Linked DNA regions of Drosophila melanogaster. The protein of the gene in region 2 purifies or fractionates together with the protein of the main gene of each other region. This does not show direct contact. Each region holds a gene or a part of one and is shown on either strand. Other genes may lie near its edges.

What was found.
Region 1: the proteins of BRWD3 (region 2) and jet purify together in Drosophila melanogaster (affinity purification with western blotting, with the first as the bait; one study listed by BioGRID). This does not show direct contact.

What each region holds. Positions count from the first base shown.
Region 1 is NT_033779.5:4,947,663-4,951,553, forward strand, and holds jet (jetlag), read right to left. Parts: upstream 2,123-3,891; 5' UTR 2,012-2,122; coding exon 1,236-2,011; intron 1,110-1,235; coding exon 926-1,109; 3' UTR 898-925; coding exon of another isoform or gene 732-897; 3' UTR 544-731; downstream 1-543. Other genes in the region: betaggt-I (beta subunit of type I geranylgeranyl transferase), read left to right, coding at 1-171; Jon25Biii (jonah 25Biii), read right to left, coding at 2,310-3,086.
Region 2 is NT_033777.3:24,317,234-24,322,020, reverse strand, and holds the start of BRWD3 (BRWD3), read right to left. Parts: upstream 3,022-4,787; 5' UTR 2,907-3,021; coding exon 2,864-2,906; exon of another isoform or gene 2,613-2,863; coding exon 2,554-2,612; exon of another isoform or gene 2,430-2,553; coding exon 2,400-2,429; exon of another isoform or gene 2,239-2,399; intron 2,005-2,238; coding exon 1,945-2,004; intron 1,354-1,944; coding exon 1,107-1,353; intron 1,046-1,106; coding exon 238-1,045; intron 159-237; coding exon 62-158; intron 1-61. Other genes in the region: Nab2 (nuclear polyadenosine RNA-binding 2), read left to right, coding at 3,765-3,806, 3,900-4,125, 4,180-4,787.

The sequences.
Region 1 (3,891 bases), on a different chromosome or scaffold from region 2:
GCCTACGCTCACCTGCAGCATCTGCATGAGCAGTGGCGGTCCGCAGATGGCCGAGGCGACGAGGATATTAGTGTAAGCTCTGCATTCAAGCAACAACTCCACCTGTCAAAGGGGGTCGAGGCGACATCCACAACAACTACCTCTAACTCGCCATTAATTTCAGCACAATGATGGGAAGCCGCACAAAGCACGAGGGGAAAGTTAAAGCACACTATTGTATTTATATTGGCCACATTTTAGCCACGCTTTTTATGCCCTTGCAGTTAGTATATTTATTTTATCGAAAAGTTTGTAGCGCAGTGGATGAGGCATTTGCGACCATATAAACTATATATCAGTATCACCAGCGGAGTCGATACGGCCATGTCCGTCTGTCAGTTTCTATGCCAAATAGTCTCTTAGTTTAGCAATCTGCATGAACGGGTCGTTGTTTTTAATCGGTATAAATGTTATAATTACTGCAAGGGTATATAAGTTTCGGCTTGCCGATTCTAGCTTACTTTCTGGTTTACATGTATTTTAATGCAAAAAGCTCGAGCTTTTGGAGAGAGAGATGAATAAGTTAGTATGTTTATTGTACAGCCTAAATTAATGTTAACAATGTGTAAGATTAAGCTTAAAAGTAAATTAAAGCGTCCCATGCTGAGGCATGTATTTACAGCAAAAGTATTGGATAGCCTCGAAAGCCTCCTTGGTACATTGGTAATATTGGCCCGGAATCAGAATTAATCTCAAACCTGCAGGAACAGGCGGTGATGTTGCACAGTTGGCATGTAGCCCATGCCGGGCCGATCGATGTGGACCCGTCCACGAAGTGGGGCGAGCACACGCTCGGTGACCAATGGGCAGCGCTGCACCATCAGTGACTGCAGCAGCGGGCAACTGGAGGTGAGGGCACTGCGGAAGAGGGAGAACGAAGTGTGGGCTAGTAAACAAGGAAATCGCTGGGATAGAAGTCGTTCAAGTTGTAAGCGTTGAGCCCCACATCCGGCTGTGGCCTATCGATGTAAAGACGCCGCTGGCGGAGCGGCGCCAGGGAGAGTTCTGTGACCCGCGGACAACGTCGAATGAGCAAGGTCCGTAGCCGCAAACAGTGCACTGTCAAAGCGCTGAAAATACGCAGATGCGGATGCAGATGGAGATTGGTTTCCCCAGAAACACACAGACACAAGGCACGCACAGGTTTACTGACAATATGACAACAGCTTTTAGGGATAACTACGAGTATTACTTACTGCACGCCATAGTCGGAGATAGCCGCACACCCGATCACGTTGATGTGCTCCAGTTCGCGGCAATAGTTCCCGATTTGGATGAGCACCTGATCGGTGACACTGGGCGTATTTGCCAGCGACAGGACGGTGAGCTTGTTAAGTTTCCTGAAGAAGATAATCAAGCAGCGCTCTCCAATTGCGCCGCAATAGGAGATGTCGAACTCCACCAGCTTGCTTTGGTGCAGCGTCAAAGCGTCCACTGCTCCCGTGGTCAGCCACTGGCACTTGGACAGCTTGAGTACGCGCAGCTCCTTGCACTCCACTATGATCGGCTGCAGCGAAAGGGCCGTGATGTTGACGCATTCGTTCAGGTTGACGGCCCACAGGCGTTTCTTGTTGTTGGCCAGCAGTGGCAGCAGCAGCTCATCTGTTAGCCATCGGCAGCAGGCCAGATGAAGCACCTCCAATCGTTGGCAACATCGGGCCAGCACTCGAAAGGCCACGTCGATATTCTTTGTGTTGTTCCCAGAGAGATGAAGTTCCTGCCTTTTTTCCAGCGCAGCCTCCACAAAGCGTTGTGCGGTACGGGAGCAGCAGCGCAGGTTGAAGAGATCCTTGAGCGACAGGTAGACGGCAACCTGCGGGATGAGCACATCGTCCCAGCAGACATCAAACAGCGATCGTGGTGCTGCAATGGAGGCGGTGACCAATGGCCTTGGACTGGCCGTACGCGTTGGTTGTCCTCCGCTGGCCATGGCCATCAGGTGAGCTTCCTCCTCGGGGTGCAGAGTGCACATGCTGCCGCCTCCGGTTACGTGATCTACGCACCAACAAAGCACTCCCAACTCAATCCTTTGGTGCACGGCAAAAACGTAATTAATTGTTTACTTGATAGCAATCAGCTGTTGCTTTGGCATTCACACAAAACTGCTACAAAAATTATTTGTGTAATCTTACGCCGTGGTTTCTACACACGAGTAAAATTTGTTTTACACTGCGTAAAACAAGTGTAGAACACATACATTTTGTTGGTGACCCCGATTTATATACTCTCGAAACGTATTGCTTTTAAAATGATCGATTTATTTAGAAAAATTAGTAAGAGATGCCAGTGTGGTCACGGATCCAGTCCAAGTGGTAGGTGACGCGCTGGAATCCAGCAGGAGCACCCGACTGGCAGCCGTTGGAGGAGACGAAGTTGCTAACTCCCACCAGCTTGGAGCCGTCGTGTGTGACAAGGGGACCGCCAGAGTCACCTCCGCAAATGGACTTGCCGTCGACGGTGCGGGTGCAGATGACGTTGTCGCCAACGCTGCCGTAGGTCCAGCCGCACTCTTCGTTGTGGACGATCTGGAGATCGACGCACTGCAGCCAGTCGGGCAGTGGGCTGCCGTCGTAGGTGCCACCCCATCCGCAAGCGACGGCCCACCATTCGTTGTAGTTGTTGTAACGGTCGTTGTAGCTGGGGAGCTCCACCTTGTTCACCATGTGCCAGAAGTCGACGTGGGGGATGCGGATCAGGGCGATATCAGCGTTGGAATGCTTGATGAAGTTGCCGTTGCCAACGGTGTGGGTGAACTGGGCGTTGGTGCGCCAGGTGGCACCGAAGTAAACGATCACGGAAGCGGCATCTCCGATGCAGTGCTCGGCAGTCAGGACCCAGTCGTGGGCGATGATGGAGCCACCGCACCACCAGCCTCCGCTGAAGCCAAGACCCACAGTGTAGGGAGCCTTACCCTCGGGGGCGGCGTATCCGTTGGTGATACGACCCTCAATCTTGGTGGCCTTGGGCAGGTCCTTTACGAAGACCTTCTCGTCGAAGGCGGAGGCCGAAGCCACGGCCAGAGCCAGGATAGCTAGGAACACCTTCATGCTGATGTTTATACTGGATTCTACTCTCGGATGGCAGCCTTTTATACACATTTTCAGCTAAAACCATATCTGCAACTCGAAAAGGGCTCGTAAATAATCCTCAAGACTCCCATAAACGATGTCATCGATAAGAATGGAGGAACCACTCTACCAAGCCAGTAGTAGAAATCAAAGAAACTCTAGGGGGGACTAGACCCCCCCCACTAGACTATATATATTTATATATATTATATTATTTTATTATTTACCATATATTAAGTATGCAGCAATAAACAGCCAAATTATTATCTATCTAAATGGAATAATATTTTGTGGCTAATCAAATATGTTTGTAGTTTTATTCATAATTATAAAATATATATTTGTCAACCTTTGCGCAGACCATTCTATCTTATCATCATTTTTCAGAACTTAAAATTTACAATGATCTTTGGACAGGAATGATTTTCAATAAAGTTGTTTGTTAACTTTTACATAAAATGTATGTCTGCTTTTTGTCCTGATAAGGATAATCTGTAATAATGGCTGGAGGTTTTCCGCTTGTTTTCAAATCTATTACTAACTGTTGCCAAGTTAGGCTGAAGGATTCTCGACTATTATTAATTTAATAGACAATTAATAAGAACAACAACAAACCAAAACTTGATGCACAAGTGTATGATAACCCTATATACTCACAGGTTTTTGATAACAAGAATTACAAGTGCTTAAAAATAAAATAGTTTACAATTATTGTTCAAGTGTAAACAAATGTTTGAAAGTGATAATAAAATAGGTGTTGGAAAAATGTTAAAAACTTGTGTGT
Region 2 (4,787 bases):
TTTTTAAATGGGATTATTAATTATAAGTAAATGTTTAGCACGTTTTAAGACGGATGCTTACAGTAAAATCGTTTACGGCGGTGATGACATAACGGTCCGAGGCATCCCAAGCCACCATGGTTACCTTAAGCCTCTTTCCCTCCTCTGGTTCCGGGCAGCTGCAATTTAATTACAAAGCTATTAGTTTTCAGAGAATTCCTTACTAGCTAGAAACATTTTAAAGAAAATCGCACTCACCTGGCCAGACGCTCCGTCATGCATAGTTTGGAACTTTTCCACTGCTGCGACTCAAACGTCCAGATGTGTGCTGTGCCGTCCTTGCTCCCCGATATAAATCTCAGTCCACGATGCGACCACTGCACCGAGTCCACGGCATCTGTGTAAGCTTCCGTCTCCAATATTCGCTTCGGACCGTCCTCGCCCATCATATAGACGCGCACATGGTGATCGGCAGACCCAGCGGCCAGAAAAATGCCTCCTGGCGAAAAGGTGGTACACATCATCTGAGCTTGTCCGGGCCGCAGTTTCTCATGATACTGCGTTGGCTTCGGGGCAAACGTGATCTTTTGCCCGCGCGGCGTTGAGTATTGCCAGAAGGCGATCGATCCATCTGTGCTGGTAGTCACCAGATATTTCAGATCGCTACGTGGCGACGGACAAAAGTTAACCGAAGTTATCATGCCCGTGTGAGCAGACAGTACGGCGATGGGTGATGTGGTTTGCATGTCCCACACTCTTAGTATGTGATCCAATGACCCGGCAGCCAGCATCGTATTGTCCAAGTTAATGGCTATGTCTGTAATCTCGGATGAGGCGCCTCGCAGAGTGGCCAGCAGGCGGCCATCTGCCGCTGACCATATCTTAATAAGTAGATCATCGGCTCCGGTGATGATGTATCTTCCTGTGCGATCAAACAGAACACAGTACACTGAGGACAGGTGGCCCACAGTGCGACGGAGCAATTTTGTTCGGCGGTAGAGGTCCGTGGGCACGAGGAGCTTGCGACGGACTTCCCCGCCGTGTTCCCGTCCAGTTAGAACGCGATCTTTGGAAATATAAATGGGTTAGTCTCTAATATGCGAATAAAACTCTACCATGCAACTAACCTAAGTTGTGGGTCGGCTTTGTAAGGACCGAATCCGGCAGCGAGACTCCATTCAGGCGGGTGCAGTAGTCCCTTAAGGAGCGATGGCAGTAGACGGTTTCCTTGGTGCGCAGGAGGTTCTGGCGCCCAGTACCCAACAGCGAGTTGATGCCCGGAACACTGGGCGGAAGCTCGCGATCCACCAGTGGACCCAGACGACTGCATATTTCAAGCAAGTGATTGGCGCCAATGTGCTTGTACTTTCGTTCCTGCGAATTCAAAATCAAAATTTAACGTATTCCTATCGATTGGGCGATAAACGGTGCGATAGCTTCAACAACGTATGCTTGTCTCGTTCCCTCGCGCACAAGTCAAGGCAAAGTGGTGGTTGCTTGCATGTGTCTGTGCGCATGGGCATGTGTATGTGTGAGAAACCAAAATGTCGGCTGGTTGCAGCTAATTGTTAAAACTAAATTACAAAGCATTTGTTTAAAAAATTAAGATTTTTCAAAATTTACAATTTTTACGAGGGTTTTAGAATTTTTGCTTTCCACTTTAGTCTTTTACGAATTTTTGCAATTTTTTGCTGCCTTTTTAATTAAATAGTTGCTTACTTATTTGTTAATTTAACAGTCAGAATGATTGATGTCTTTAGTTGTAATGTTTTTTAAATTAACAACTTGAATTTTGATGTGCAACTTTTTCTCTATTCCCTGACACGATGACGTCACAAAGGCGAGCGAACGACTGAGACGGAAAATGCCGCAGCAGACGCACACTTACGCAAGACTTAAATGCCGATCAAAAGGCATTAAACGATAACTTTGAAAAGCTAATTGATTAATTATGAAAACACTCACCAATTCCTCAAAGGTCTGCTCATGCTCGTTTCCCTGCCAATCGAGACGACGCGGCAAAACCTGGGAATCGAAAGGTGTACGTATATATAGACGGGTGTAAATATATATGCATGCATGTATGACTCTTATCACTTGCACTCCGTGACGTCGACGATGACGTCGCGGGGGCATCCCTATGATTCCATTTCTTTTTTCATGTTTTTCTCTTCTTTTTTTAATGGACTATATATTCACGTGGCCCCAGCAAATCCACAATTCAGTCTGATTCCCAACTCTGAGACAAGCGGACGTACAAGTGGGTTTTTCGTCGTTCGCTGCCGGCAGCAGAAACAACAACAAAACCAAAACAAAGCGTATAAACAAACGCGGTTTTCTATTTTTTTTTTGGCCCCCCTCTCAATTCGAGTCCGAAATATCTGTGCCAAAAACACAGCTGCAGCACCAACAAAACTCACCTTCTTCTCTTCGAGTTCCCGGATCAAGACCTACAGTTGGATAGAATTTAGTTTCAGAATTAATGTAAATGTTTGTAAACAAAACGAAATTCCGCTCTTTTAGCGCGAAATACGATTCCAATGCGATCTCGCGCGAGCGCTGCTTTCAACCCACCTTCGCCGTCTCCTCCAGCGGTCCCGCGGCCAGGAACTTGGAAATGAGGAAGTACAGCTCTGCAAGATAGAGGATTTCACGGGTTTTAGTGCAACAAGTTGTCGAAAATGCGCTCGCTGGGAGTCGTCAATATTCCAGATATATCTGGCCAAAGGGGCCCGTGAATTTCGCTTGGCGAAACGCAGTCGAAAAAACGCAGCCATTCGATTCGAAGGGCGAGCGAAACACAGACACACATTTCACAAAGTCAAAGGGGCTGCCTTTGGTAGCCCCGTTGGACGCACTCGCTGCGCCACCGGGCGGTACGCACCTGGCTTTAGATCATCACCGGAACTGGGTTGTCTAGTTTCCATTATTCATTGCGAATTGCAGCTCCGATTATGACAAAATTGCAGTTGCTTTCTTCTAAAATTCTTTTCGCAGCTTCTTCTTCCCGTGTGACACTCGATTGCCATTCCCACCGAATGAAATGCCTTTGCGTATCGATAGTTGGTGGCGGGGCTCACAAGATGGGTATCGAGTCTTAGCCGAAGGAGCCAATTTTCGTATTTGAATTTGAGATGATGCACTGAAATGCTTCGCAGGATTCTACAATCTAAGATATTTACTTCAAATTGAGAATTTTAATTCTCAGTCAAACATATTCGTAGCCATTGGTTTGGAATTTAAGCTTATTATGAAATTTATATTTAGCTATGTGATTAAATAAACTGTTTGCAATTATTCGCTTTTAATTTTCGAATGTAATTTAATAGCTACTACACAAATTCTTGATAACTAGACTTATGATTTAATGAATAACAAGTGAAATCTTTTTATATTTTTAAATTGTCCCATTGGTGTTGATTATTTTGAAGTTATGTTGCACTTCAGTTCATGGCCATGGCCAGGAGCATTTTTAAATTTCAGAAGTTTTTAATTTGCCATTTTAATTTCAAATGAAATTTCTGTAACTATTTATTATTTTAAAGCTATGTTTATAGAAAATCGATATATACATTATAAAACGTGTGAATTAAACGTGAATACCCTTAATGTCAAACGCACACCACTAGTTATGAATATCGGAGCAGCTGCGATATTTTTTTTTTTTGGGAGGTTTTGCCATTTTCTAATGTAACAAAAAGTGGAGTGTAGCCACAAAGTAAGCGTAAATAATAAATGCTCGCGGCGAATAAACAGCGAAAAAGGCGATAGATAAACCAGCAAACATGGAGTGCAATCTGGGCAGCGAGATTGGTCAGAAGATGCGCGTAAGTCATTGGAAAAAAATCAATGAACTCGTTATGGATACCGCTCGGATTGGATACTCCAATACTATATATATTTTTGCACTTCATTAATAGAGCGCCGTAAAGGCAAAGCTGCTGGAGCTGGGAACCGGAGGATCGGCCGGTTTTATAGACGATGAATTGCCGGACTACGTCATGGTCATGGTGGCCAACAAGCGCACCAAACAGCAGATGAACGCCGAGCTGAATCTATTCCTAGGCGATCAAACTGACCTCTTTGTCACCTGGCTGCACGAAGTGCTGCAAAAGCTCCAAGAGGTCACACTCCCCACATCCAGTGGTATGATGGATATGCTCATCATACTTAAGCACCCACTAACTCCAATTTTTTCAGCTTCCAGCAAGAAGCGCAAGTCTCGCGGTCAGGAGAAGGACAAAAAAGGATCCAAGAAGGATAAGCGACCGCACCGAAAGTCCGGAGATGAGCTGTCGGAACCACAGCCAAGTTCCTCAGATGCCATGCCAATTGTCAGTTCCATCACGGATGTTTTTGCCGAAGAGCTTCTCGAGAAGGCAAAGAAAACCATGGACATTGATCTCAGTGCCAAAGACGAGATCCTGCACAAAAAGAAAAATCGCAAGTCCATCGAGGATGAGGATGCATCGGCCAATAGGGCGCTGGATGTGCCCGCTGTGTCTGAGATCATCTCAACTACTATCGGTGTTAACCGGCAAAAAGACCTCGCTGAGCTGGCCGAAATCCAAAAGAAAATTCATGCAGCCAAGAAGCATTTACGCCAGATTGGCGAGATCGGGGATGAAAGCGATGAATATGATGAGGATCTGTTGAACTTGAGCGCGAGGGAGGAGTCTGTAGACCAGGAGCCAGAAGAGGATCCCCCGAAATTGGAGGCTCCACCACGAAAAGCTAAGAGCCCCATTATTTTTAACAGACGCGAGAAGACACCCGAAAAGCGTCCAGAGGCTGAACCGGAGATCGAT